Linked DNA regions of Diceros bicornis minor. The protein of the gene in region 1 binds, or shares a complex with, the protein of each later gene. Links are inferred from orthologs where the notes say so. Each region holds a gene or a part of one and is shown on either strand. Other genes may lie near its edges.

The links.
Region 2: the proteins of SFN (region 1) and ANPEP are in contact, whole or in part, in a crystal structure (PDB 7AEW), measured with the Homo sapiens proteins. The link is inferred for Diceros bicornis minor from reciprocal best matches to the Homo sapiens genes SFN and ANPEP. Residues at the interface, in NP_006133.1 of Homo sapiens: Asn42, Ser45, Val46, Lys49, Arg56, Lys122, Arg129, Tyr130, Gly171, Leu174, Asn175, Val178, Glu182, Leu222, Asn226, Leu229, Trp230; in NP_001141.2 of Homo sapiens: Ala60, Ser61, Ala62, Thr63, Thr64, Leu65, Asp66.
Region 3: the proteins of SFN (region 1) and NOTCH4 are in contact, whole or in part, in a crystal structure (PDB 7OR3), measured with the Homo sapiens proteins. The link is inferred for Diceros bicornis minor from reciprocal best matches to the Homo sapiens genes SFN and NOTCH4. Residues at the interface, in NP_006133.1 of Homo sapiens: Lys49, Arg56, Arg60, Lys122, Arg129, Tyr130, Glu133, Gly171, Leu174, Asn175, Val178, Glu182, Leu218, Gln221, Leu222, Asp225, Asn226, Leu229, Trp230; in NP_004548.3 of Homo sapiens: Arg1914, Arg1915, Phe1916, Ser1917, Ala1918, Gly1919, Arg1921.
Region 4: the proteins of SFN (region 1) and AMOT are in contact, whole or in part, in a crystal structure (PDB 7NPB), measured with the Homo sapiens proteins. The link is inferred for Diceros bicornis minor from reciprocal best matches to the Homo sapiens genes SFN and AMOT. Residues at the interface, in NP_006133.1 of Homo sapiens: Val46, Lys49, Asn50, Arg56, Arg60, Lys122, Arg129, Tyr130, Gly171, Leu174, Asn175, Val178, Tyr181, Glu182, Asp215, Leu222, Asp225, Asn226, Leu229, Trp230; in NP_001106962.1 of Homo sapiens: Val171, Arg172, Ser173, Leu174, Ser175, Glu176, Arg177, Leu178, Met179.

Annotation. Positions count from the first base shown.
Region 1 is NC_080752.1:42,625,628-42,632,058, reverse strand, and holds SFN (14-3-3 protein sigma), read right to left. Parts: upstream 1,850-6,431; 5' UTR 1,762-1,849; coding exon 1,015-1,761; 3' UTR 514-1,014; downstream 1-513. UniProt on the Homo sapiens protein: Adapter protein implicated in the regulation of a large spectrum of both general and specialized signaling pathways. Binds to a large number of partners, usually by recognition of a phosphoserine or phosphothreonine motif.
Region 2 is NC_080744.1:93,474,548-93,481,394, reverse strand, and holds the start of ANPEP (aminopeptidase N), read left to right. Parts: upstream 1-3,829; 5' UTR 3,830-4,475; coding exon 4,476-5,083; intron 5,084-5,489; coding exon 5,490-5,632; intron 5,633-5,748; coding exon 5,749-5,888; intron 5,889-6,287; coding exon 6,288-6,414; intron 6,415-6,498; coding exon 6,499-6,653; intron 6,654-6,847. UniProt on the Homo sapiens protein: Broad specificity aminopeptidase which plays a role in the final digestion of peptides generated from hydrolysis of proteins by gastric and pancreatic proteases.
Region 3 is NC_080753.1:32,672,630-32,679,753, reverse strand, and holds the start of NOTCH4 (neurogenic locus notch homolog protein 4), read right to left. Parts: upstream 3,024-7,124; 5' UTR 2,920-3,023; coding exon 2,856-2,919; intron 2,060-2,855; coding exon 1,978-2,059; intron 1,787-1,977; coding exon 1,494-1,786; intron 1-1,493. UniProt on the Homo sapiens protein: Functions as a receptor for membrane-bound ligands Jagged1, Jagged2 and Delta1 to regulate cell-fate determination.
Region 4 is NC_080781.1:104,579,365-104,586,807, reverse strand, and holds the start of AMOT (angiomotin), read left to right. Parts: upstream 1-4,441; 5' UTR 4,442-4,831; intron 4,832-7,443.

The DNA.
Region 1 (6,431 bases):
CGAACGCTGGGGGGGCGTTCCCCTCCTCAGATCTGGGCTTTTAATGGCGGCTTCATACCCCCGCCGCAGAGCCTACTCCCCTCCGCTCGGATCTGAGCACCTGACGGGACTATTCCCGGCTTTCAATTCTGGGGTGCTCACTGCTGCTCACTACAGCGTGTCCGTGCGGCCCTGCCCTCAGACCTCACACCTGAGACTTCATTGGTTTCCTGTCCCCTCAGATCTGAGCTCTTCAGCTTTCCGCCCAGCTCGGAGGAGACTTAGAGCCGCTTTGGGCCTCACCCGACCCTCCCGGGACCAGACCAGTCGGCTTGAGACCATCCTGATGGAGAGAGCTTGACCCCCAACCTCTCACCTGGAGTCCCTGGCCCCTGAGTCTTACCTGCGGGTCACTGAGCCAACCTCATGGGAGGTCAGGGCCCTGAATCAGAGGTCCAAAGTCAGGGTTTGTAAATCATACACCAATCCCAGTCCCAGTCCCAGTCCTCTGCCAATAACTGGAAAAGACAGGAGGAGTGTCACAGGGGAACTTTATTGAAAGGAAACATGGTCATACCCAGCAGACATGCTTTCCCTCTCATTCTCAGTCTCGCTCTCACACACAGTCACACACGCACACACCCATGTCCAGCCTCTGCCACACAGTCCAGTTCTCAGCCACAAGGGTGGGACACTCCTCAATTCCTAAGATCCAGACGCGGCAGGAGCAGGAGGGAGTCAAGAGGCGGGAAGAAGTGGCCCGGTTCACGGGTGGAGGTCTCGAGGAAGGGGGTGCAGAGAGCAGAGGTGGGTGGGATGCCCAGTGGTTAGGAGCACCCCACAGCTGCAAGAAGAGTGGGGTCCTCTGGCTCCAGGTGACCTCAGCTCTGCTGAGCCCTCTCTATGGAGCCTTTCTGAGCTGGAGCAGAGCATTTGGGGAGAAGGGTTGGGCCTCCCACCCCATACTAGTCCTCTCTGCAGGGGGGTGGGGGACTGGAGAGGGCAGGGCAGGGCCGGGAGGGTTGCAGGCTTGGCTCAGCTCTGGGGCTCCTCGGGAGCCTCGCCGCCCTCTTCCCCAGCGTTGTCGGCCGTCCACAGTGTCAGGTTGTCTCGCAGCAGCTGCATGATGAGGGTGCTGTCTTTGTAGGAGTCCTCGCTGAGGGTGTGCAGGTCAGCCATGGCCTCGTCGAAGGTGGTCTTGGCCAGTGAGATGGCCTCCTCAGGGCTGTTGGCGATCTCGTAGTGGAAGACAGAAAAGTTCAGGGCCAGGCCCAGACGGATGGGGTTGGTGGGCGGCATCTCCTTCTTGCTGATGTCCATGGCCTCCTGGTAGGCCGACCGGGCTGAGTCAATGATGCGCTTCTTGTTGTCACCGGTGGCCACCTCGGCCAGGTAGCGGTAGTAGTCGCCCTTCATTTTCAGGTAGAAGACCCGGCTTTCAGCATCACCGGCCTTCTTGATGAGGTGGGTGTCCAGCAGGCTCAGCACGGTGTCACACACGCCCCGGAGCTCGGTCTCCACCTTCTCCCGGTACTCTCGCACCTCCGGGCCCTTCTCTTCCGAGCCCTCCTCATTGCCTTTCTGCTCGATACTGGACAGGACTCTCCAGGCAGCCCTCTGGCCACCCACCACATTCTTGTAGGCCACTGAGAGCAGGTTTCGCTCTTCGCAGGATAGCTCCTCACCCTTTTCCACGGCGCTCTTCATGAAGGCTGCCATGTCCTCATAGCGTTCGGCCTGCTCTGCCAACTTGGCCTTCTGGATCAGACTGGCTCTCTGCATGGCTCTGGGGACAGACAGACAGGCGGCGGGCTAACTGGCTGCCTCGGGACCAATGCCGGACTCTGTGCCTCTCTTGCTCTCTGCCTGCCTTTTGGCTGGATGGCCTGGCCCACAGAAGGGTGGGGAGGGGCAGAGGGCGGGACTGGGGCCCAGGACCTGCCTCCCTCGCCTCTTCTCCCCACACCCTTTCCGGCTCTTCCTTAAAGGTAAAAGGGCTGGGATGTGGGGGTGAGTCATCAGGACAGTCAGCAGGAGAAATCTGGGCGTTGGCCCCACCTGCACAGGCACCTTTCCAGGCTCCAGGCTGCCCCCTCTTGTTCAGGGCTTCTATTACATGGGTGCCCACGTTAGGCAGCTGCGCCAGTTTCTCAAATCAGATCCTCCTTCACGGTGTCCTTCCAGGGGCTAAGGATGGCTTCAGCCACCTGGCTGCTTCAGCCTAGGCAGAGCCCATAAAGCCAGGTGCAGGAGGATGGGTTCCTAATCCTGCCATGTACGTTTCCCTGCTTGGTCCAGGTGAGCTAATTTATGTTTAGGCAGGGCTGTACAGTTTCCCAAGCACTTTCGTATCCATGATCTAATTTAATCCCTACTACATCCCTGTGAGGTGGGCTGGACTGTGGCTACTACCCCCACTTTAGAGATGGGAATACTAAGGCTCAGAGAGGGATGAGATTTGCTCAAGGTCATACAGCTAAAGTTCCCCTGCATCCTACTTCCTTTGGTCTCTCTCCCATCGAGGTCTCTGATTTGTGAGCTCCAGGCTGGATTTAGAAGTGAAATCCAAGCTTCTTCAGAGTCTACCTAAAATGGTTCCATCCCCCAGTCCTTACTCCCCCTCAGGGTCCTGTCCCTTCTGAGCTCCCAGACTGCGCAGGTGGCAGCTTCTGGGTGCCACTTAATGAGGAGTTTAACGAGCGGCCTCTGACGCTCCAGCCCAGCCTTTGTAATTAGTCACCCAGTAGGTTTGTTGGACACCTTCCCCATCGCAGCACAGCACAATTTTCCCTTTCAAGTTGGTGGCCTGTTGCCACTTGTTTGAGGACTTATCCTCTAGCTCTCCACGCCTGGTCACCTGCCCGCTTCAAGCTGCCTGCCATCATGTATCAGTGGGGCTCACAGAGGGTGGGGGCCCGGCTTGCTGGCTGTCCCACTTTCCTGCCTGACTCAGCCGGCCCTCTGTCAGAGGCTGAAAGCAGGCCACCTGGGTGCTCAGCCCAGTTTGGTTCCCCAGGGGGGACACGAGCAACCTGAGGAGAAAGACAGGACTGAGGAAAAGGAGGTGGCGGTGACACATACCATTTTGTTTTATGGGGCAGCAGTCCCAGCTGAGTGCTGTCTCCTACGGCCTGCCTCTCACAAGTTTCCCTGTCCCTTCCCTTTGACCATGACCCCACCTCTGACCCCTGGCAGAGGCCTCAGAGATGGAAACTTCTCTGTTGCCAACCATCTGTCCCTGATCGCTGGGGCGCTGTCCTCCTGTCAGCGGAGTTTCACCCGAAGGTGGTGGTACTGCACCTATGAGAGTGGGTTCCTGCTTATCTGCCCCACCCCTAGCCAAAGCTCAGATGGGGCTCAGGGGTGGGGCTCACCTCACTGGATCCAGCCAGCTTAATCCTGGAGCCAGGACCATTTCACAGGCCTGTCCCTCCCTGGGTTGCTCTTGGTGTCTGAACACCCACCCTCCCCTCCTGGAGGGAGGCTTAGGCCAGAACTCAGGCCCAAAGATGAGATCTGCCTCTTTGAAGGAAAAGTAGGGACATTTCTGGGCTGATGCTACAGCTTTTCCAAGGAAGCAGAAGGGATTTTAGGCTTGACACCCCAAAGGCTTTGCTCAAATCAGATCACTGTCACAGAAAATGATGGAAAGGAAGTACACTAAAATAACCAACTCACAGAGCATATTTCCACATAGTGAGACTATGATTTTTTTTTCCTTTTGATTTTCCTATTCTCTTCAAGTTATCAAGGGTGAATATGTATTATTTTTCTGAGAGACAAAATAGCCAAGTATCTTTGGAGTCAGATTGCCTGGGTTCAATTCTTACAAGTTCTTGTGGCCTTGGCCAAGTGACTTAAGCTCTGTGAGTCTCAGTTTTCTTAAGTGTAAAATAGGGCTTGTTGTGAGGATTAAATAAGTTGATGGAAAGCACTTAGAGTGGATGGGAACTATTATTATCATGTGAAAAAAATCCAACCAACTTTACTGGTTTAAACACATGCACTCAGAGCACTAACATGGAGCTGGGTAGGCCTCAGCCAAAGCCCAGACCCTGCCCAGCTGGGTTTCCACAGGGGCGAGAAGATGAATGAACAGTCAGATGCGCTCACTCAGCACTGTCTCCTCCCTGTCTCTCAGACATTCCTCTGACCTATGCAGGCCCAGGGCCCTCAAGGACCTTCCTTTGTACTAGTCACCCAGCCCAGGCTTTCCCAAGTCCTGGGAGAAAGCTGGAGATCCCAGGATACCAGAAACCTAGAGGGCAGGGTCTGGCAGGCCCAGGAATTTTGGAGTTGCTTCTGTCTCTAGGTTGCATTCTCTTCCTACCACTCAAGGCAGGAGACCTGGTGGTAGTTCACGCCACGAGCTCCATGCCCTCAGCACAGCCCTGAGCAACAGAAAAGAAGCCCCTTCCCTCCGCTCTCTCCCCTGCAGAAGCTCAGGGGTGAATCTGGGAGCCAGGCTGCCTGACACCTCCTACCAGCTCTGGCCTGTCGATCCTGACTCAGTTCCTGTCTCAGGCACCTCCCTTTGCCTCCAGGCCTCCATTTCCCAAGCCCAGGAGACCAGGCAGGCAGGAGGCAGCAGGCCCTGGCAGGGCACAGAGTTCCAGAGTCAGCTGCCTGAGTCAGCAGGACAGGAGCTGGGGCTGCAGCCCACAGGGGCTTTCCTTATCCTGCCTGCGACCTCCCTACCCTTCTCTATAACATCCATCCTACCAGGAAGCGCAAGGCCTCTGGTCCCATAGACAACCAATCTGTCGTTTTTTTTTTTTTTGAGGACGATTGGCCCTGTGCTACCATCTGTTGCCAATCTTCCTCTTTTTCTTTTTTTCTCCCCAAAGCCCCAGTACATAGTTGTATATCATAGTTGTGGAGTTGTAGCTCTTCTATACGGGACACCGCCTCAACATGGCTTGATGAGCAGTGAGTAGGTCCACGCCCAGGATCAGAACCAGCGAACCCCAGGCCACCAAAGCAGAATGCAAGAACTTAACTGCTATGCCACTGGGCCGGCCCCCAACCAATCCTTCTTGACTGGTAATAACAGGCTTAGAATGGTTGTGGCACAGAGAAGACAGCAACCAGTTGCTATCTATCTCCCCTGAGAACAGAGGACAGGGCTCTGACTGTAGCAGCAGGGACTCTGGTTAGATTCCAGAAAGAACTTCCTAGGAAATTTTTCAGTCTTGGAATGATCAAATTAAACAGGTGACTGGAGGAAGCTATGGCACCTTCTCCCCCTGGTTAGTTGTGAACAAGGGTTCAATTATCCAGCTAAGAGCTCACTCTACTAATTACCTTTGGGAGGGGATATTAGACTACTTTTAAGTGATTCAGCTATCCTGAGTCTTATTCCCCTCAAGGCACTGCTGTTTTGAGTATCCTACATCTCCTAGACCAGTCTGGTCTAGGACATATTGTGGAATTTTTGGAAAGAGAATGGAATGTCAGGCTGAGACTGCATGGCAGCTCTGTTATCAGGCCTTGGGCAGGTCCCTTCCTGCTTCTGGGCCTCAGTTTCCCATCACTACAACAAGGAGGCTAGCACAGATCTTGTCTAAGCCCCTGCTGCCTATGAAGGACATTCTCTAACCTTAGGGTTTCTCCCTCTGAGAGCCCCTCGTCCTGAAGCAGCTGTATTCATTCCTTGGGTAATGCAGAAGGGTCAGAGGCCAGGGCAGAGATCAGGTTCAAATCCTGCTGCTCTCTCGGCTGGGAGACCTGGAGCAATTCCTGCGCCCTCCTTGAGCCTCAGTTCCCTCATCTGTAAAAAGGCTGACATCACCTTCCTCACAGGTTTAGGTGAGAAAATGGGCCTGGCACTTGGCCAGACCTTGCTAAATGGCCACTATGATGATTTTTTAGCTCTTAGCACTCTGCGTATCTCCATGTGCGGTGGCAGCCGGGGAGAGGGAAGGTTTCCATGAGATTGTTACCCTGGGCTGGGCTCAGTTCAGGGGTGTGACAGTCCTAGCCTGGAGTTAAACCCTCTCTCCCAGCCTGGGCTGGGACCTGAGAGAGTTCAGAGGTCAGCTAAGGCCTGAAGGTCTCTGGAACTGAGACCAGTTCTGGAGGGGCAGAGTGAAGAGGACGCTGGCCACTCCTCCTGTGTCACCTCTGGCTTTGTCATGCATCTTTTTTTTAAATCTTCAGAACAGCACTGACCAGCTGGAACAAAGCTGGCAGTGAGGGTGAGCCAGATGTTCTTCTGCACCCTCATCACAGGCCCCACCCCTGGGCCCAAAGTAAAGGTGGCACCAGACAGCCAAGGGTATGGCAAGAAGAGGGAAATCTTTATTTTGGTTAAAAAAGGTACAGGACAGCAGACAAGCACCCCCAGTCGTGGGCTCAGTGGAGGTTCCTAGGCCCGACCCGGTTTCCTTTAGTTCCTCTGAAGAACACAGGGCTGTCAGAGCTCCCTCAGTGCTCGGAGCACAGAGTACAAG
Region 2 (6,847 bases), on another chromosome or scaffold:
GCTTGGTTTCTCCCCCATCATGAGGTGAACAGTAAAAGGAACGCACACATTTTGCTCACCTGCAGAAAGGTCCCACCCCTGAGACAGTCTGAATGTGACACCGTCCCCAACCATTCAGGATGGAGAGTGATTCCCAAAGTGAGGCAGCTATACGATGATTTTAGGGGCCACCTAGATGAACAGCTTTTATTTATTTTTCATTTTATTTATTTATTTATTTTTTGAGGAAGATTGGCCCTGAGCTAACATCTGTTGCCAATCTTCCTCTTTTCTGTCTTTTTTCTTCCCAAAGCCCCAGTACATAGTTGTATATCTAGTTGTAGGTCCTTCTAGTTCTTCTTTGTGGAACACCACCTCAGCGAGGCTTGATGAGCGGTAAGTAGGTCCGTGCCAGGATCCGAACCAGAGAACCCCAGGCCGCCGAAGCAGAATGCACAAACTTAACTGCTACGCCACTGGCCCAGCCCTAGCTTTTAAATCGACAGTCATGAATTGAAATGTGTGTTGGAAGAAATATAACAACACATCCAACCAAAATTTCATGGTCATTTTTGCTCAGAAGGAGAGTAAGCGGTGAATTGCTTTAAAGAAAAATATTAAGTGAATAATGTACAGCAGGATCACAGAGATGGCAAAACTCACAAAGGTGGTTTGTGTGTACAGTCTGGGAGCCCAAGAAGGTGAGGTATGGAGGGGAAACCTGTCCCGAGGAAAGAGTCTGAATTGCGCTGAATCCCATCTTTACCTGCTGTCTGTCATCTTTTTACTGACGCGTCCATCCCACAAGCGTGTGTTGCCCCCCTGCTGTGTACTAGGTCCTTGCCTGGTGTGGAGGGTGCTATCCCCATGGCGCAGAGTCTTGGGGGCACTGGGAGGGTTGTCCTGGGAAGTGAGCCTCCAGGACGAGTGGGTGGTAGGTGAGGGAGAGACAGAAGCTTTCCAGCCCCAAGGAGCAGCTTGGGGGTGGGGAGGGCTGGAAGAGGGAAGAGCATGGTGGGCTTGAGGAACCTAAAGAGGCCAGTGGGGCAGAGCACAGAGGGCGACAGAGGGAGAGGGCTTGAGATGAGATCAGAATCACTGGGGCTAGATTGGGCTGGATCTATAAGCAATGGGAAAGATGGTGGATGCTGTCATTCATTTAGCCAACATTCATTGCGTTCCTGCCCTGTGCTAGTCATGGAGGGGTATGCAAAGTCGCAGAGCCTTCCCTCTAGGCACCTAGGCCTGGTGGCAGGCTTTTGAACACGTGGATGGACTTTTCATAAGTGCCGTGTCAGAGGTATAAACAAGAGGCCAAGGGAGCACAGAGGGGAGAGGGCTGCCATGTATGAGAAGGCAGTGACATTTGAGCTGGGTTTTGAAGAATGAGTAGGAGTTTAACAGGAGGAAAAGGAAAGGTGGCAGTGAAAACAAGGTGAGTAAAGGCACAGAGGCGTGAAAAAGCCCAGAGGGTCTGGGGAAATGCCGGCAGCTGGAGCCAGAGGGTCAAGTACGCAGAGGTTTTCAGGCTCAAGCCAGAGCTGAGGTTTCGTTCCACAGTGAGGAAGCTGGCAGTGAGGAGCTAGAGACCCAGGTTAGAGCAGCAGAGGAAGATCCCTCTGCCAAGGGGTGTGGTGAGCTTGGGTGACAGGGGAGGACAGCGCTGTCACCACTGCCCAGTGGGGTGTGAAGATGGCCAGGCCTGGGCCACGGCAGGGGCTGGAGGAGGGGACCCTTTGCAGTGTTACAGAAGATGGGGACTGCAGAACATGCCCTCTCTGTGCCCCCGGCCTGGGCTGGCATGGTGCCCGGAACAGCGACCTCTCCTTACAGGGCAGTGGGCTGCCTGCTGCCCTGACTTCGAAGACCAGAGGCCTTTTCCAAAAGAGTAAAGATTCCAGCCAGCTGGGCCCGTGGTCTGTGTCCAAAGCAAACAGGAAGAGACCACAGTGGGCAGGCAGGGCCTCTTTCTTTGTTTGGAGAAGGGATTAGGCCAAGCGGGCTTGTGGATCTTCCTGCTGCAGAGACAGGAGGGGCTGCAGGCCAGTCAGGGACCGAGCGAAACTCGGTGCAGGGGGCGCATGGCCCTGGGTGCCAGCCTACAGGGCACCGTAAAGATGGCCTCCCTTGGCAAATTCTGGCCTTGACGGAGGGAGACTGGGAGCACGTGCTACGGCACCTTGGGTGCCACCGTTCCCTCTCACTGTGCCCAGGCTGGAGCCCTCTCCCGCGCACTCGGCTTCCTGCTGGTGCCCCTTGGCCGTCAGCCCGGGAAGTCCGTGCTGCCCAGACCGGGGCCCCGTGGCGGGTTTCTAGAGAGAAGGAGGGAAATGCCAAGGGCTCAGAGCACCCTCAGTCTGAAGGATGGGCACCCAGGATTGCCCTGAGGCACGCACTCAGGCCCTGGCCTCCCTGGCTGGAGGACAGGCGGCCGTCTTTCCCTCTTGCAGCTGTGCCTGAATGAATTAATCTGTGCATCCGCTCAGTTCATGCCTGTGTTCATTCACCAAGCCCTCACACAGGCTCAGGATGGCAGGCCCAAGCTGGGGCAGGGAGCAGCAGATGAACGAGGTCCTTCACAGCTGACAAGCTGATGGAGCGGTCAGATGTGAGCCCTGAGATGCAGCTGCCCCTAACAGGAGTCCTACCTGTCTGCAGGGGTTGGAGGAGGGCTCAGAGAAGCGGGCAGACAGTTCTCCCAGGGCAAGAGTGGGGGCGGGGACAGGGGCGGAGGTGGGCTAGAAAGACTTCAATGAGAAGTGACTCCTGAACGGACTCATTCATTTATCATTCACCCATTCACCCGTGTGTGCGTTCACTCAACAGATATGTATTGAGCACCTACTGGGTGCCAGGTCCTGTGCCAAGTGCTGGTGAGCAGATACAGCTGAGGACCTGCTTTTCTGGGGCCTGCAGTTGGTGGGGAGACAGTCAGGACTCAAGTCATCACCACACAGACCAAATGGAAAATTACGCTGAGTTATTGGGCTTTGAAGAAGAGGTTTGTGGTGCTGATGGAGCTAATGACCTGGTCAGGGAGGTCGAGGCCTCCTCTCTGAGAAAGACTTGAAGGATGAATAGGAATTAACTAGGGCAAGAAGGGAGAGAAGATGATCCAGGCAGAGGGAACAGCAGGTGCAAAGGTCCTGTGATGGAATGACTGGATGAAGGCCAGAGTGGCTGGGGTACCGTGACAGAGGGGAGCGTGGTGAAAATGAGGCTGGGAAGTGGGCGGGCTGATAGCACCTGAACTTGTGGGTCCTTTTAGAATATTTGGTCTGGATTCTACGAGCAAAAGGAAGGTTTTAAGCGGTGGTCAAAATGATCCTGGTTGTGTGGTGAATAGTTTTGAGGGGGCGCGAGTGGAGGGGGGTGTTGATGAGGGTACAGCAGTGTCCACATAAACAGTGGAGGGGCTTTGACCAAGGACATGGCGAGATCAGGGGATGGGGGAGTTGGATGTGGGGTGAGGGTCAGGCTGTGTCAAGGTCTAGGAAACTGAGCTGGTGGATGGGAAGGGTGACAATGAACATCGTTTTCCTGTACGAATGTATTTTATTGAGTGTGATAAGTAATATCTTCATTTCTACCAAGGAGAGGAAAAGAGGCAGCGGTTGCACTGTGAGCAAGGGATGATGTTTAGTTTCTACTGTGTGGTATTTAATATGTCTTCTCAGTAAATCTTTTCAACACACCCCAGAGGTAAACACGATTGTTTATTTACGAGGAAAGAGGTTGCAGAAAGGTAAAGTTACCTGCCCAAGGTCACGGCTGGGAAGAGGTTAATCCTCCACCAGCCTCCTCTCTTAAAAAAAAAAAAAAAAAGGCAAAACAACTTCTTTGATTCTATGATTCTATTCAGTGAGCTGATAATTGAGCAAACAGTTTCTGTCAAGAAGGGGAAGGGAGGGACCCTGGGAGGACCCCCTGCTCTGGAAGAGTGCACGGGAGGCTGGGACCGCGTCGCCTAGGAGCCCCAGGCGTCCTTCCAGAATCCAGCCACGGGGTGACCCAGCGTGTTCTTGACCCAAACCAGAAAACAACCCTTCCCTTCTCTGCATCTTTCACCTCTTGCTCCTGAGAAGTCCTTCCCTGACTCTAACCTTGATCTTCCTGCTTCTGTCCCCACTGTCTCAGCTCGCAGGCAGATCAACGCCACCTGGCTGCTCCCTCTACCTGCTGGGCCCGCAGCCTGCTCCCTGCCCTTCAGCCCTCGGGCAGACTCCTAGGCAGCCGGCAGCCTGTAACCAGACGCTGTTTGCTCCCAGCAGGCTCCCTGAGCCTCACTCCGCACACTGTTCCTGGGTCTCCTCTCCCCAGCCTGGGTGGAGTGTTCCCCTGCCCAGTCCAGTGACCTTCGCCTGTCTGAGCCCTGGTTAATTTTTGCCCAGTCTTCAGGCTGTGGGGCTCCTCCCCTCGGGGATATAAGCCTGGCCCAAGGCTGCCCCGTTCCCTACCTGTCCTGAACCTCCCCAAGCTCCCTCCCCACCCTCACCATGGCCAAGGGCTTCTACATTTCCAAGACCCTGGGCATCCTGGGCGTCGTCCTGGGCGTGGCAGCCGTGTGCACCATCATTGCTCTGTCGGTGGTGTACTCCCAGGAGAAGAATAAGAATGCTGGCAGCTCCGCTGCAGCCACCACGAGCCACACTACCAGTCCCACCACCACTGCAGCCACCACCTTGGACCAAAGTGAGCCATGGAACCAATACCGCCTACCCACGACACTGGTGCCCGAGTCCTACAGGGTGAAGCTGAGGCCCTACCTCACCCCCAACGAGCAGGGCCTGTACGTCTTCCAGGGCACAAGCACTGTCCGCTTCACCTGCAAGGAGGCCACCGACGTCATCATCATCCACAGCAAGCAGCTCAACTACACCCTCACTCAGGGGCACATGGTGGTCCTGCGCGGCGTGGGCGACGCCCAGCCCCCTGAGATCGACAGAACTGAGCTGGTGGAGCTCACCCAGTACCTGGTGGTGCACCTCAAGGGCACGCTGGCGGAGGGCAGCCTGTACGAGATGGACAGTGAGTTTGAGGGGGAGCTGGCCGATGACCTGGCAGGCTTCTACCGCAGCGAGTACACAGAAGGCAACGTCAAAAAGTGAGTTGGAGCTGGATCTGCTCGGTGGGGGTGGATCCCAGACGCTGAAGCAGAGCCGGAGCCTGAGGGTCAAGGAAAGGCTTAGATTCGAGACCTTTGAACTTTCTGGAGCCCTTGGCTGGCCATTCCATCTGCAGGCTCAGAGGAGAGAAATTTGTCTTCCAGCTAATACGGGGATAGAGCCTGCCAGGACTTTGACCCTGAATCCAGAGGAGCTCTGATCCCCCATAGCCAGCGGGCGTGTCAGGGCATGAGGCTGCCCAGGGGAGGTGGGGAGGGCAGAGTTAGGCCTTCCGTGCACCCCTTCCTCTGCATGCCCAGCAACACCCTAAAACTCCCAGCCTGCCCACCCCCCTGGGGTGCAAGCATTCTGCCGGCACAGCCCCTAACACCCTGGTTTGGGCAGGGTGCTGGCCACGACACAGATGCAGGCTGCAGATGCCCGGAAATCCTTCCCGTGCTTCGACGAGCCATCCATGAAGGCCCAGTTTAACATCACCCTCATCCACCCCAAAGACCTCACAGCCCTGTCCAACATGCTGCCCAAAAGTGAGCGAGTCTGTCCTGGGGCCACACAGCCTGGGGAGGCCGGGACCTGGGGCTGGAGTGCAGGATGCGGGGGGAGGCGGGGTACATCCCCACATACTTGGATGCTCCATGCCCAGGTCCTAGTGTCTCCTTTTCGGAAGACCCTGACTGGAACATTACCGAGTTTGAAAGCACGCCCGTAATGTCCACGTATCTGCTGGCCTTCATCGTGTGCGAGTTCTCGTATGTGGACTCGAGGTCACCCAATGACGTCCTGGTACGGAGCTGGGCCCGCCAGTCCTTCCCTGGGATTGGTCCTGGCCTGAGGGGTATTCCTGTTGATCCTCATCCCTGAATCCCAGCTCTGAGTGATCTTGGGCATGCGTCTTAAGTTCTCTGACCCTCAGTCTCTGCATCTGAAAAATGGGTCCCACCTCCTGAAGGGAGTTCCCAACTCCTGGGTGCCAGACACATGGTGGCTATGACTACTGTTATTCCCCAAAGGCTCCTCCCTATGACTCGAAGCCCCTCAGAGACCCCCAGCTCTCTCTTCTGCTGACCAGGCCTCTGGGTTTAACCTAGTTGCTCCCCCTACCAGCCTGCTGGGCCCTGGGGCTCAGCCCATCTGCACCAGGAGCCTAGAGGGACCCCTGACCTACCTCCATCCTCTTTGCAGATCCGGATCTGGGCTCGGCCTAGTGCAATTGCGGAGGGCCATGGCGATTATGCCCTGAACGTGACAGGCCCCATCCTGAACTTCTTCGCCTCACATTATAATACATCCTACCCACTTGACAAATCCGGTGAGTGAGGGGCCTTGTGCGGTGAGGGGCAGTGGGTGGGGCTCCATAGCTAGAGGCCATCCTGCCAATGGCTGGTATCCCCAGACCAGGTCGCCTTGCCCGACTTCAACGCCGGCGCCATGGAGAACTGGGGGCTGGTGACCTACCGGGAGAGTGCTCTGCTGTTCGACCTGCTGTCCTCCTCCATCAGCAACAAGGAGCGAGTGGTCACTGTGATTGCTCATGAGCTGGCGCACCAGGTAGCCGCCCCATCGTGGGGGGAGTCCAGAGAAAGACACAGAGGGCCCTGGGAGGAGATTGCACAAGTCCTGGCTCTGCGCTTGGCAGCTGAGAAGGGAGGAGGGTCCCACCTGGCAGGGTAGCAGTCACCATGATGTCGGTGAAGTCCCCAGCCCGGGAATGGTGGCCCTGGGTACTGTTAATGACTGTAAGG
Region 3 (7,124 bases), on another chromosome or scaffold:
CCCTACCTCAGTTTCACCATTCCTTGGGAGGGTTATATCTGGAGTAACCATATTTTCCAAACTGAAAATAGGACATGTAGCTGTTGGTGGGAGTACGGCAAATGGGCCCTGCCTGGAAAAATCTGGGACACAGGGTCCCTTCTGTGGTGACCTTGGTGGGGGGTGAAAAGCATCCGATCTCTGTAGGCGGGAGACTTAGTTAGCATCTTGCTGTGCCACAACTGGTTGTGTGCCCTTGGGCAGTGGTCTGGCCTCTCTCATCCTGATTTCCTGATCTTTAGGTGGATGTCATGGTCCGGATAATGATAAGGAGACTCACTTCACCACCGTGTGCACCAGTGGGAAAGGCACTAGTAGGAAGGGCAGTAGCGGTGGCGAGGGGCGCCGCCACCATTTGCTACACACAAGCTGTGTATCAGGGACTGAGCTAAGTGAGCACTTCCTGAGCATCACCCCCTGCCCTCCTCTCAACAGCCGTATGAAGTGTGGATGTCAACTGACAACCGGGGACCCAGAGAGCTTAAATATGTTATGCAAGGTCACATGTCTAGTCAGTGGCAGAGCTGGCACTGGAGTCAGGGAGGAGGCTGCCCCAGGGCCCCTACTCTGAAGCACAAGGCCTGGAAAGTTGCCATTGCCCATCCTTCTTCTTGTCACACACACTCTCTCACACGCAGTCTCAGGCCTGGTTACCTCAGAATTACCTGGCAGTTAAAAAAGTCTCCATGTCCTTAGCCCACCCCAGACCCACTAAATCAGAGTCTCTGAGATGGAGGCACCAGTATTTTTAAGGCTTTCCAGGTGATGGCTGTGCCTAGGCAAGTTTGAGAAGCCTCACAGAGGCACCCACATTCCAAGCACTTTCTTACCCATGTGGCTGTCTAGTCCAGCCCTCTCCATCCTGGTCCGGTCCTATCGAGCCTTCCTCTCCAGGGCCTCACTGCATCCCTGACCGCTTCCTCAGGGTAGCATGCCCTGCCCATCACATGTCCTGATCTCTTGTCCCAGGGCTGAACCCCTCCTCCTGAGATGGGCACCCTTTCTTCTCTTTGGGTCAGATCCCTCCCCCCATCACATCTGCCAGCACCGCAGTCTTCCCAGGTGATATTATGGGCTCCTAGCACTCAAAACAGAGGCCATTCAGATGCTCAGAATGTAGAGACCCCTGGTGTGCCAGGCATTAACTCCCTAGCTACTGGGTGGCAAGGAGTTTGAGGGGCTGGGAAAGGGGTCAGGGCGGTATACTAAGGAGGCTATGGCAGTAGCAATTTACCAACTGGTTTGGAAATACTCTAACATTTTAACAATCAGTACAACCATGCTGGTGAACGTCAGTCCTGGGTAGATGGGTCGCCAAGGATCAGCTTCTTGATTCTCATGGCTTCTGTCCTCAAAGGGTCTCAGTCTCACAGGCTCCAGTTTCATCTTTCCTAACCCACAGCCCAGCGTATTGCTCCTGCCTGTCCCCTCCTCCTCACCCCTTCAGTGCTCACCTGTCCACCCAGGCTGGCAGAAGCACTGTGGGAGGCCTGAGGCCTGGATGTGGCAGCGGCCCATTTTGGAACAGAAGGAAGAACAGGGGTCCTTGAGCTGGGCCTGGCACCTCTCGCCAGTGAAGCCAAAGGGGCAGGTGCAGAAGAAGCTGGGGGCCGAGGGAGAGGGAGCGCTGGGGGAGCCTGGGAGGGTGGGAAGCAGGGCTTTGCAGCTGCCCCCATTCTGGCAGAGCTGAGCATCCTGGCAGGGGTCGGGAAACTCGCATGTCTCACCCAGGAAGCCAGGCGCACACCTGGGCAGGGGAGGAGAGAGGAAAACTCACATCACTGGCTCCACTTCGCCTTTTCTCCCACCTCCCTCCTTTGCCTTCATTTGTTTCCCTTCATCTTTGCCACCTCCTCCCTTTTTCCTTTCTTCCCATTTCCTCCCCTGGCCTCCCTCCCCCTTTCTCTCCAGTCTCCTACTCCCATGAGGCACACTCACTGGCAGGTCCCTTGCCCCTGAAATAGGCTCAGGCAGGTGCCTCCGTTGGCACAGGGTTCTGGGAAACTCCCACACTGCAGCCCTAGGGGTGGAGATGGGGATGAGATGGGAGCAGGGAGCATTGTGCTCCACCTTCACTCCTCTGGGTGCTCTGGAGGGACCTGCTTGCAGCAGCCCCACACACGTGCTCCAAACCACCATCGCTCCACACCCTTCTTCCTAGTCCCCACGTGGCGCTCACACCCCAGGCCCTAGATCCCAGGCCTCTCAGTTACTGATCCCCACCCCTCTTTCCTGTTTATTCTCTGGCCTCCCAAGTCCAGCCTCAGGCTCCATCCCTCGGAAGCAAGACAACAAGGATTAGGAGGGGGGCTGAGGAGACTCCTGGGAGTTGACTGGCTGAGAAATTGAAGGGATTTCCTCTCGGAAGGGCCCAGCATTGAGCCGTCTGGGGGGTGGGGACAGCTGGACCAGGAAAGGGACTTGGTGGGCTGTTGACCTTCCCTTGTCTCCATTTCCTGCTCCCCTCTCACCTCTTCCCCTAGCAGGTGGTCAGTCTTTTTCCTCTTCCCCTCCTAAACGTGATTGCAAGAGCCTGCTGTCCCCCAGCTCCAGGCCCACTGGGTTCTCCCTGGAGGTGGGCACCCTCTTGCCCATCCCCCCAACAGTCACCACCCCTGGCACCAGGCCCAAAACCTTGGTTTGTGCAACTCCAGCAGCAGAGCCGTCTCTTCCTGCAGGCTGTCTCCATTTGGGGGATGAGAATCTCCTCCATCCAGTGTTGCCTCAAAACATGGAACTTGGCCCTCTGCCCCCAAACCACTGGACATCCTCCTGGGGAAGTTGGGTCTCCCCACCTCTCCCACCCCATGCCTCACCTCTTGCCTTGGCGACTGAGCGACACAGCAACAGAAGCAGCAGCAGCAGTGAAGGGGGCTGCATTCCCGAGCCCCTGCCCCTAGCCCAGATCTTCTCTGCCTCCTCATGCAGGGACCCTCAGAGCCCTCACTGAGGCAGGAGCCTCCTCCTCTGCTCCCACGGCCCCTTCTTCCTCCTCCTCGGCCTGCTGCAAGCCTCACGTCTGAGCTGTTTCCTGAGTCACACAATGTCCTGGACACCCTAGTAATGGGGGGAGGAGTGGAGGAACATTGAGGGGGATGAGGGAGGGGCTTTCTGTCCCTGACAACCCCTGGGGAGGTGGGGGGGGAGTAGCACAGTGTGGCTGGAGGGCAGGTGATAGGAGGGGAGAACTGGGCTGGTGGGGGCTCTGGGGACAGTCTCAGCCCTTCTGCTTGTTGATGTGGTCTCTCCTTTCTAGACAAGGGAATTGCAAGGTGGCTGCCCCATACCCCAGGAGGGTCAGGACCTGGAAACAGAGGTGTGGGGTGACGAGAGACTTCCTATTCCTCTTCCCAGGAGAGGATGCTTGTTTTGTGAGGTCAGTACAGACGCTTCTTAGAGAATCTGCAACTTTCCCTAAATTGAAACCACTGATCTTGGCAGAGGGAACCCAGGGGACTTCTGGGCTTTGCCTTGGCCCTTGCTGGGGACTTAGTTTTCTCCTTTTAGGGAATGGGTAAGACGCTGGGCTGGTTTTGGGGGAAATCTTGGCCTTCTCTCTGAGGGGAATGTATATGATCATCATCAATGATAAATGAACATTGTCTACACTGAACTTTGCAGTCTGGATGATCTGTAGCAAACACTGCATTTGGGTAGGTTGTCCTCCCCGCATGTCTCCCTCCCTCCACCGCAGAGGTCCCTGAGATGCAAGGAATGCCAGTCATTGAATTCAAAACTGGAGTAAATAAAATCACAAAAGAGAATTCATTGCCCTGACTCATCCTACCTTCTTGAGTGAAGCCAGGACAGCTCTGGGGTCAGCCTCACACTGAGTTCCTCTAGTAGCACAGACAACTGAGAGTCCAGGGTGGCTGGAGGTGTCAGCAGCAGCTGTGCACAGCCCCAGCATTGACGCACCCACAGCCACAGCCTGGTGTATCCTGAGCACCTTCCCCTGCCGACAAATATACTTTGCCAGCACCATTCTTTTTTGTATTTTATTTTTATTTTTAAACTTTTTATTTCGAAATAATTTTAGACTCACAGAAAAGGGGCAAGAACACTAAAAATAATCCCAGGATACTCTTCACTCCGATTCACCAATTGATATCATTTGACCACATTTGCTTCATCATTATTTCTCTAAATACACATTCGTATTTTTTTCTGAACCATTTGAGAGTAAATTGCACATAAGACGTCCCTTTATTGGTAAACATATCAGTGTGAATTTCTTGAGAACAAGAACTTTTTTTTTTTTTGCTGAGGAAGATTAGCCCTGAGCTAACATCTGTTGCCAATCTTCCTCTTTTTTTTGTTGCTTGAGGAAGATTAGCCCTGAGCTAACATCTGTGCCAATCTTCCTCCACTTTATATGCCTCAGCATGGCTGATGAATGGTGTAGGTCCATGCCTGGGATCTGAACCCTGCCAACCTCAGGCTGCTGAAGCAGAGTGGGCTGAACTGAAACCACTATGCCACGGGGCTGGCCCCAAGAACATTCTTTTACATAACCACAGTACAACTATCAAAATCAGGAAACTTAGATTGATACAATACTATTACCTAATCTACAGTCTATATTCAAAATTTGCCAATTGCCTCATAATGTCCTTTATAATGATTTTTTTTTCTTGGTCTAGGATCTAATCCAGGATCACACATTGCATTTAGTTGTCATGTTTTCAGTTTCCTTTAATAAGCTCCTTAGACTTACTTTGTCTTTCATTATATTGACATTTTTGAAGAATACAGGTCAGTTCTTTTGTAGACTATCCTAAATTTAGGTAGGTCTGATGTTTCTTCAGTTTATGCATTTTTGGCCAGGAATACCAGAGACGTGATGTTCTGTCCTTCTCAATGCATCATAGCAGGAGACACATGAGGCAACATCATTCTTCATGGTTGACTAGTATTCCACTGTATGGTGAACCCCAGTTAATTGAAACCAATTTCCTATTGTAGGGCATTTAGGTGGATCTCAATCTTTAAAAATATGATCAACTATGCTGCAATGAATATTCTCGAACATACATATTTACATGGTTGTCTAATTATTTCCTCGGGCTAAATTTTTAGAAGAGAAACCACTGAATCAAAGAGTCAAAGGATAGACTTATTCTTAAAGCTTTCGGCACCTTAGTGTTGCCAAGTCATTCTTCAGAGAGCAGTGCAGGACTTTACACTCCTGGCAGTAGTGTCTGCGCATGCCTTTACTCTCGTCAATCCTGGGAATTAGAATCCTTGCCTCCTTGATAGGTAAAATGGTATCTCATTGTTGTTTTAAATTGCGTTTTGTTGTAGGGTTAACATTATTTTCATCTGTTGAATGGCTATTCATGTTTCTTCTATCATGAGTTGCCTGTCCATGATTCTGTCCCATTGTCCTATTGGTGTCATTGTCATTTTCCTATCACCTTTCTTAGCTGAGGAGACAGCTGTGGGTGTAGAGATCTGGGCAGAAGAGACCTAGTGTGAAAAGTTCCTGCTTTTGCACTCTCTGGTTTGCTAACTGGGTGGGGGGATGAGAAGTGAAAGGAAAATAGAAAGAGATACCAGGCTGCTCGTGGAACCACGTTGACCTGAGAGGAAAGAACTAAACTCTCCATTTCTGCCATGTTCTTGACCTCACACTTTTTGTGGAAAAGGAGGCTGGGGCATTAGGCTAGAACTTGAGAGAAAGAAGAGGAAATGGTAATAGAGACAGAAAAGGAGTGATTGGGTGGAAGGGGAACCAGGAGTGCGGTGGGGCAGAAGCTAAGTTTAAAGACAGTGTCAGGAAGGTACACAGCCCGCTTCTTGCCTTCTCCCTGCCTAACAGAAGGCAGTGTGCACCTGCTCAGGCATTATGAGTTGTGCTTGGGCCCCATGCATTCCCTGGCCTCTAGGACCTTACAGCCCAAAAGAGTGCTGATGCTTCCCCAAGAGCTTGATTCTCTTTCCCAGTGGCTTCCCAATGGTTAATACTGATGAGGGTAGTACCATCATCACTATAGTGAGCTGCAGATGCTAGGGACACAAAAAGTTTTCTCTGGTGTAAAATGACCTCTTTCCTTGCAACATCCCATCAAATAGAGGTTTGGTTTACTCAACTGACTTTTCTTTCATTTTATATCTCCTGAGAAAGATAAACCTGTCAATCATTTACACTTTAGTCATGGAGACTTTTGACCTTAAGAAGATCCCTCTCTGAGCTGGGCCCTGATGATGTGACCAAACACAAAGAAGGTAATAGTCCATGGTAGATGTAGAAATACACAAGAATGACCCACCCTGAGAGATTATTTGTGAATATATAGTGCTTCCCTGCTGGTTACTCCTCATCTCTCCAACTTCTTACCACTGCAGTGTCCATGGCTCAATCCCTGGACCACTTCCATTTTTTATCTGTTGATAGGTGATCTCATCCAGTCTCATGGTTCCCACCAGATTTAAACGTTACCTATGGAGACTATCTTTGTGCTGATGACTCCCAAATTTGTGTTTCTAGATCTTAGAACTGCAAACTTGTACTTCCAGTGTCTAATGAATACCTGAAACTCAACACGTCCAGAACTGATTTGATCTTCCCCTCCAAACCTCTTCCTCCCTCCTGAAAGTATTGGGCTTTGCAATTCTATTCTTCAGTTGTTCAGGCTCCAATCTTTGGGGACATTGCTGACTCCTCACTTTTTCTCATATTCTACATCCAATCTGTCTTCAATCTGCTTGGCTCTACCTTCAAAATATAGCCAGAATCTGACCACATCTCATCTTTTCTCATCCCCACTGTTAATTCCCTAGTCCAAGCCACCATCATCTCTTGCATCGCCTAGCTTGCCTCCCTGCTGCTGTCCTTACTCCCCTCAGCAATTTCACCACATAGTGTCCACAGTGAGTCTGTTAAAATATGAGTTAGACCACGTCACTCCTCTGCTCAAAACTCTCCAATCATTTCTCCACTGACTCAGAGTAAAGCTAAATTTCTTACAGGGTCTACAAGGCCCCACACATCTGCCCCTCCCTCCTCTGCCCTGTTCACCTCTCTAACCCCATCTCCTATTACTCCTTCTCTCTATTGTGCCACACTGGCCTCCTCACTGTGC
Region 4 (7,443 bases), on another chromosome or scaffold:
TTATTGTGGTAAAATACACATAACAAAATTCACTATTTTAACCATTTTAACCGTACAATTCAGTGGCATTAAGTACATTCAAAATGTTGTACAACCATCACCACTATCTATTTCCAGAACTTTTTTATCATCTGAAACAGAAAGTGTGCTCATTAAACAAATTCCCCACTCCTCCCTCCCCTTAGGCCCTGATAATCACTATGCTACTTTCTGTCTCTATGAATTTGCCTATTCTAGGTATTTCATATAAGTGGAATTATACAATATTTGTCCATTTGTGGACAAATGGCTTCTTTCAGTTAGCATAATGTTTTTAAGGGAGACATTGATTTTTTTGATTGACTTTTTTGTTGTTGTTTTTAGAGCACAGACATTGATTTTTATTGTATGTTAAAGGAAGAATTGCACTTTATTGAAAAAAAGCCAAACAGGACAGATAGTTTAGGATGGAGACTCTTGACTTCTAACCTTAAAATGATCATTATATCCATTATCAATATATGGAGGTTCTTTTTTGTTTTTTTTGTGAGGAAGATCAGCCCTGAACTAACATCCACGCTAATCCTCCTCTTTTTTTGCTGAGGAAGACCAGCCCTGAGCTAATGTCTATTGCCAATCCTCCTCCTTTTTTTCCCTTTTTCTCCCCAAGGCCCCAGTAGGTAGTTGTATGTCATAGTTGCACATCCTTCTAGTTGCTGTATGTGGGACGTGGCCTCAGCATGGCCGGAGAAGCGGTGCGCCGCTGCGCACCCAGGATCCGAACCCGGGCCGCCAGTAGAGGAGCGCGGGCACTCAACTGCTAAACCATGAGGCCGGCCCCCTGGGGAGGTTCTTAATGCACTTAGGCAACCCAGTGTCTTTACACAGGTGTTTTACAGCTAGTGGTTAATTCTCCTGGTATACCCCAGAGGCTTCTCCATATTTTACAGTCAGGATATGAAGACACAGGGATGCTGTGGGGATTAGTTAAATGTGTGTGGCATACTTTGCTGTATAAACTCACTCTCTGGAACTAGTTTTCACTCCCTGCTCTCAACTTCCACGGCTTTTACTGTCAATCCCATTCATTTAGCACTTAGCATGCGCTTGTTAGTTGTCTTTTTCTGTATATGCCCTTGAAGGCAGGAGTCAAGTCTCATCCCTCTTTGTTTTTACAGTCCCGTCCATAATAGCAGCTCTATCAATGTTTGTTGATGTTGGCCTCCCCCTCCCCCTTCCTTTGAAGCAGAGTTGGCAAAGCATAGCTTTAAATTCAAACTCAGTTTAAACAAACTGCAGGGTTTTCAGGGTAAAAACAAAAGGAAGTCTTGCGTGGCAGGAGAGAAGGAACACCTAAGACGCTTAGAAGACCTGGGCAAAGCTGAGGTACCAAAAAACCTGTTGTTTGCCACAGGCTAAGTGACCCACATGCAGCCTGGTCCACCATTAAATTCAGAGCTGTGGTCGCTCTACTCTATCAAAATTCAAATTTGGAGAACAGTAGTGACCAAGGCAGGATTTGAGGAGGGGGTATTAAAGGAATTAGTGTTTTAGGGGTTTCCACTGTATGAAGGCCCTAGTAGCTGTGGGGAAGGCAGGTTGGAAAAGTCTTTTGAAGGCAACTGCAAGGCTGGGGGCAAGCATTCTACAAACACAGCCGCTGGGCCTTTGCTACTAGGATTTGTTTCCCAGCATCTTCTGTAATGGCAAAAGATGGGAAATGGCCTAAATCACCTTTCACTAAGAGAATGAGTAAAAGAATTTTGGCACATCTAAGCAATGGAACACTGAGCTATCATGAAATAGAATGAGGTAAAGGAAGTTATCCTGAGATGGAAGGATATTTAAGAGACATGGTTGAGTAAAGAAAAGCAAGGTGTGCTGTGATTGATGATCCCACTTGTAAGGGGCAAAAATGGAATATATACATGTATGCAAATAATATATTTTGAAGATTGCGTACAGGCATAGAGAGAAAGGGAGAAAGGGACTACGAGAACGGAGTGATGGAGAGGAACTCTTCACTGTGCTCCTTTCAGTACTGTTTTAATTTTATCCTGTGCACATTTTACTTTCTCCATTTTAACAGCATTGTTAATTTTAACAAGTATCATGTTGCCATTGTGATCAGTAGTAGTCTGCAGCCTATACCCATCCTATCTAGCTCTGCTGTCCACCCCTCCAAATAACAAGGCTGGAATAATCTTCCCTTGCTTCACAAACCAAGTGTCTCCGTGTCTTTAACACTCAAAAATCTCACCTTCCCCATGAAAAATCACCCAAATAACTTCACCTCACACATAAGCTGAATCATTCCGAGAATCCATTTTGCCCACGCTCCTGCTTCTGAATCTTTCAGCCGCCCCAGCAGAGCACTCTGCACATTGGGGCTACCCCCCAACACGCCAGTGGCCCACTACTTTTCCTGCACCTGGTTATATTCCGAGACCCTGTTCATGCTGAGATAGTGTTTCTTTTGAGCACACTTCCTCTTGCATGCCTTGATCCATGGACCCTCAGAAGGCTCCTGTTAAGCAGGCTTGAATTGAATGTCACTTTTTCATTGGCCTGAGTTCATTATAATAGCTCTGCCTTGTCAAGGCCTTTACATTTACACTTGCTTCCTCCTTGTAACGTTTTCTAGGAAATATGGATCTGTAGAGAATGGTGGTTTCCATGGTAAATGTTCCCTCATATTTGTTTTCTCAAGTTCACTTCGGAGACACAGCACGATTTCCTCTTTCAGTACCAGCACCACAATAGATTTAGGTTGTGGCGCCACTGCAGAACTGTTTAAAAAAGAAATCTCACCCACCCTGGTTAGAAAAGGGGTAATTTATTCTTCTAACTGCAGGCAGCCAACTTCATATCCACCCCCAAAACTGTAGGAAAAGAGTTGACTTATTAAAGCCACAAAACCTATACACCTTGGATGTAAATGCTTAAAACAGATAAGGAGAATATTTGATTCTCAAACACATGAGACTCTCCACCATGTGACATACACAAGTAGGAACACATACATGTGTGGAGTGCTTTGTGGTTCACAGAGTGTTCACACACAATTCATTTTATTTTCATATACCAGTGTCATTAAGTTAATAGGGCATGCTTATAGCCTTTATTTACAGATAGGAAAACTAAGGCTCAGAGAAGTTAAGCGACTCAACAGAAGTCTCACAACTAGCTGATAAGTGCTCCAGTCTGAAATGAGTTCTTCCTTTAGCTCCAAATTTCATGTTACTCTGCTACCCCTACACTGTTTCTCTGTGCTTTCGTTTCCCAGATGTAAAATGGTAGATTTTCAGTGTCCCAGGATGCTGTTCTCAACCCTCTGTGTTCTTAAGCAGTATCAATTTTTCGCAGCCAGGAAATGTGAACACCACATTGATACTTTACGTACTTCTTCCCCCTCCTGGCCTAATGAATTAAGGGGGGGAAGAAAAGTTACCTATTCTCAGAGGGCCGGATAGTGCCATAAGGGTGTACGGGAGCCAGCCGACACACTGTCGCACTCTTAGGAGACTAAAAAACCGAGCGTCTCATCTTTCTCTTCTCGGCAGTACCTTGGGGGAGAATGGAGAGCTAGACAATAGCCTCTTGTTTAGTTTTATTAATTTTGAGGGCGGGTGGAACAAAAGGAGCCGAACGACGACGCACGTGACCAATCGCAAGCGATTCCTAGACCAGGATTCGCCAACTGGTAGCTGCCAAAGAAAGATGGGTGGGATTTACTCTTCTAGGCCCGCTCCGCCCAGGCCGGCCCCCCCCAGCCCGCCCAAGAGGCGGAGGCTCCGCAGAGCCCCGCCCACGCCACCTCCGCCGCCAGCGCGGCCCGCCACAGGGAGGGGGGTGGGGACGCGGGGGGAGGGGGGAGGAAGAGGGAGGCTAGGGGGAACCGAGGAAGAAAGGAGGGTGTCTCGCAGAGCTATGACCTGGGTGGGGGCCTGCTGGTAATAGGAAGCAAGAGGGGAAGGAAAACCAAGGAGCGCTGCTCCTTCCTGCATTATTTTAAGCAGGCTTTGCTAGAAGCTGCTTTTCAGCATTTCTATTATTTGTTTTTCTTCCTCCCGCTGTGGGGCGGGGAGCTGCATTGGCTCTCCCTCCGCTCTGCTGTTGCCATAGATTATTATTTGTAGTCTTTGCAAAACCCTTCCCTTCCTCCTAGCCAGTCCCTGCGTAGACTCTCATTGCTACTTTAACCGAGTCGTGCCACGTTAGTAATAGGACCAGAGCGAGGTCCCCCCGTTTTCGTCCGAGCGACCGCACTCCGCCGCTCAATTGTTTGAAACTTCCACGCCCCCTGGCCCCGCCTCTCTTCCATCCCCCCTCTTACCCAGGGCCCAGGCAGGCTCCTTCCCTTCTTTCCCCGCCCTCAGCTCCGCCTCCCTCCCTAGTCCACCCCCTCTCCCCGCTCCTGGGCGGTCCTAGCCGCTCACCGCAAGAAGAAAAGCCACCCATTCGTCCCCCTCCCCTACCTCCCATCCTTTGCCCAGGAGCTGCCTTCATCGCAGTCACGCCCCTTCCTTCCGAGGAGCTTTCTGGCTGCCCAAGCTGGAGACCCCCTGATTTATTCCTCCATCTCTGCTCTCTTTCGCCTCATCTTCTCTTAGTTCTCACCTCCCCCTCCACCCCCACCTCCAGTCTGTCTCGCCTCCGACCATCCGCTGCTCCACCCTCCGGCCCGGTATCCTGCCTGTCCGCTGCCACCAAGAAGAGCCCGGACGGAGCAGTGAGGAGGGGAGCAGCCGGGAGTTGGGGCTTCTCCCCTGCCCATCCCTGGCCTCCGGCCCGGGCCCGAAGCCGCTTGAGCGAGCGGAGAGTCGTCACCTTGTCTTCGTTGCCTTCAGGGGTAGGAGACGCGTGGTTACTTTTCGCGGGGAACTGGGGCAGGAATCCATGGTGGCGTGAACTTGATCATGCCCTCGGCGTGAGTGAGTCGATCTAGATGCGTGTGGGGATGTCCCTGTGTTGTACTTTCTTTGCAGCTGGTCTTGAGTTTTCTGGGATGTGCAGCAAGTTAAATTGGTTAAAGAGTGTGTACTCCTTTTCTGTCCTACGGAGATGCTAGTGGGTACCACTACTTGATGGTACGTTTACATCTTCCCTCCTGGAGTCCTTGTAGATCTCTAGGTAATTAAGCACAAAAGGAATTAAAGACCCGAGGGAACTTGAGGTCTACATTTAGCTCAGCAGGAATGTCCTTGCTTATCTCCAATTGCTAGATGCGTTCCTCCTAAATGCTTAGGATTGGGGTGGGGGCTCACACTCCCCTCCCCCGGGGCCCGTGAATTCTTGAAGTCTTAAAGTCTGAGAGTAATCTACAGCGTTACACTCTTTTTGGTGGTGTGTTTGTGTGTGTGTGTGTGTGTGTGTGTGGTGATGTGGAGGCATTTGTCCCTTTTCTGGTTTATAGATGTTAATAACTAGTTTTGCGGGATCATGCACACGTCTGGAGGGTCCCAAGCCTGGGTCACTGTATGTAGGTGCTTCAGCAGCAAGATAACTTGTCAATATATGAAAATGAAGAGAAGGCAAAGTGAGAGAGGGAAAGTGACAGTCTTTGTAGACTGTGAGCAGTCCCTGGTAAATTGACATTAATAATAATATAATAATAATTTGCAGCAAGGGACTAAATACAATTAAATGAGAGAGGAAAGGGAAAGTTTGTGAGAAACAGCATTTCCAATCTTTAGCATGTATTTTAGAATTTTCTGACACCTTGAAGTGTTCAACTTAGTTCTCCCCCTCCCCCCATGAAGAGTAGAAGTTGGGAGGCAGTTGAAAACTTTTTTTTAATGTAACTCTCTTCTCTCATTCAGAGAGGAATTAGTCACCATAATCTTCAATAATGGAGGGCTAAGGGTATTTAAGTCTCCTTGAACTAGGCTTTGTGAAAAGTCCTTTCTTTGGCCAGCTTTTGTGAAGCCTTCTTGGTTAGACCTTTCAGCACCCTCATTTAGTAGCTAAGAATAGTTTGAAACACTATTTTGGACTCGGGATAAATCTTCACTCATCTCCCACCTATCTCCAATTGGGCAAGCATGGCAAACTTATAAGAACAGTGGTGTTCAAAGACCTGTTACCAAGATGTCCCCCATCCATTGCTTATTTGGAAACAAATTATTTACTTATATTTTTAAATAAGTTTGTTGATTGATTTTAATGGGGGAAAGGAAAGCAGAAAGGGAGAAAAGGAACGTTACAGGGTGACAATTTTAAAGGCTATCGTGTTTCAGATCAGCTGGGAGGGAAAAGTTGTCCTGACCAAACTACATTTTATAACTGGCCTGGGACATTTTAATAGCCAGGTGGTTGTAGAGTAGTTGCATCTATTTACAGATGATAACTCAGGTTCCAGCTATTCTGTATGGATTTATCTGGTGTCATTTACCAACACTTTCTGGCACTACATCATACTTAATTTTAAGATACTTCTTTCTTGGGAAAAGTCTATGGCTCCTTAAAATTGAAAGTGCTTTTTCTAACTTCATAGTCTCGATATGAAGTAAAGCTCTGACCATGCTCGTGTGTAGAGTAACTTGTACGTGAAAGTTGTGGATCTGTTTACTTATTTAAAATATTTTAGAAGGGAATTTTAAAATTCATATTCAATACTGTTTTGGATTTGGAAATTGAAATCTCATTGCTGGTTTATGAAGTAGGAGTTATTAGACTAGTGCATAACCAAGGCATTTTGTGGAGTTGCTTTTTCTGAAGTTTTATAAAGAACGGATCAGACTCTTTCTAGAATGCCTTAAGAACAGTCTATTCAGAAAGCAGAGGGATGGATGCTATGACCTTGAGGTCCCATTGAGTGCCAGAATTCTAAGTGGGTACATCTGCTTCTATGCCTCTCCTAAGAGCCCTCTCCCAGGGCCTGCGCCTTCTTTAAAAGGGTGTCTTTGTAATTAAGCAGCCCTTCTCCCCCATCCCCCTTTCTTCCTTTGATCCAGCTTTTTAAGGCCTTTTTTACATTTGGAGACAAGAGGAGTTTCTCACACTCTCCTACTCCCCTCTTAAGGTTTCTTTTCCTTTCCCCCTCAAAAAAGTCCCCTGAAGTTCTCAGGATGGTTAGAACTTGTTCTGTTTTGTTGGGGAGGGGGTGTTACCAACAAGGAGGAGTAGAGGATATAGTCCCTCTTGGGAAATGCTTGTGACCAGGTAGCCTCCTCCATGGAGACTGAGCATTTGGAATGCATGAGAACAGTCTATTCTTGGGGACTGTCTGGAAGAAATTGTCCTTTGCACCCATTAAGCCCAGCTTAAACACACTGAAAGGGGTGGAGAGAGGTGTGTGTGGTCGTGGCTGAGCCTTTTAGGATAGTAAATGGGTAAATGTTCCCAAATCTTCTATTACATCACCTCTTTCCCCCATGGATTCAGTGGGTTTGGAGATCTGCTTGACAAGTTAATTAGCTTGGGCCTAAACCAATTTGTTTAGAATTGTGCTCCATTGATTTC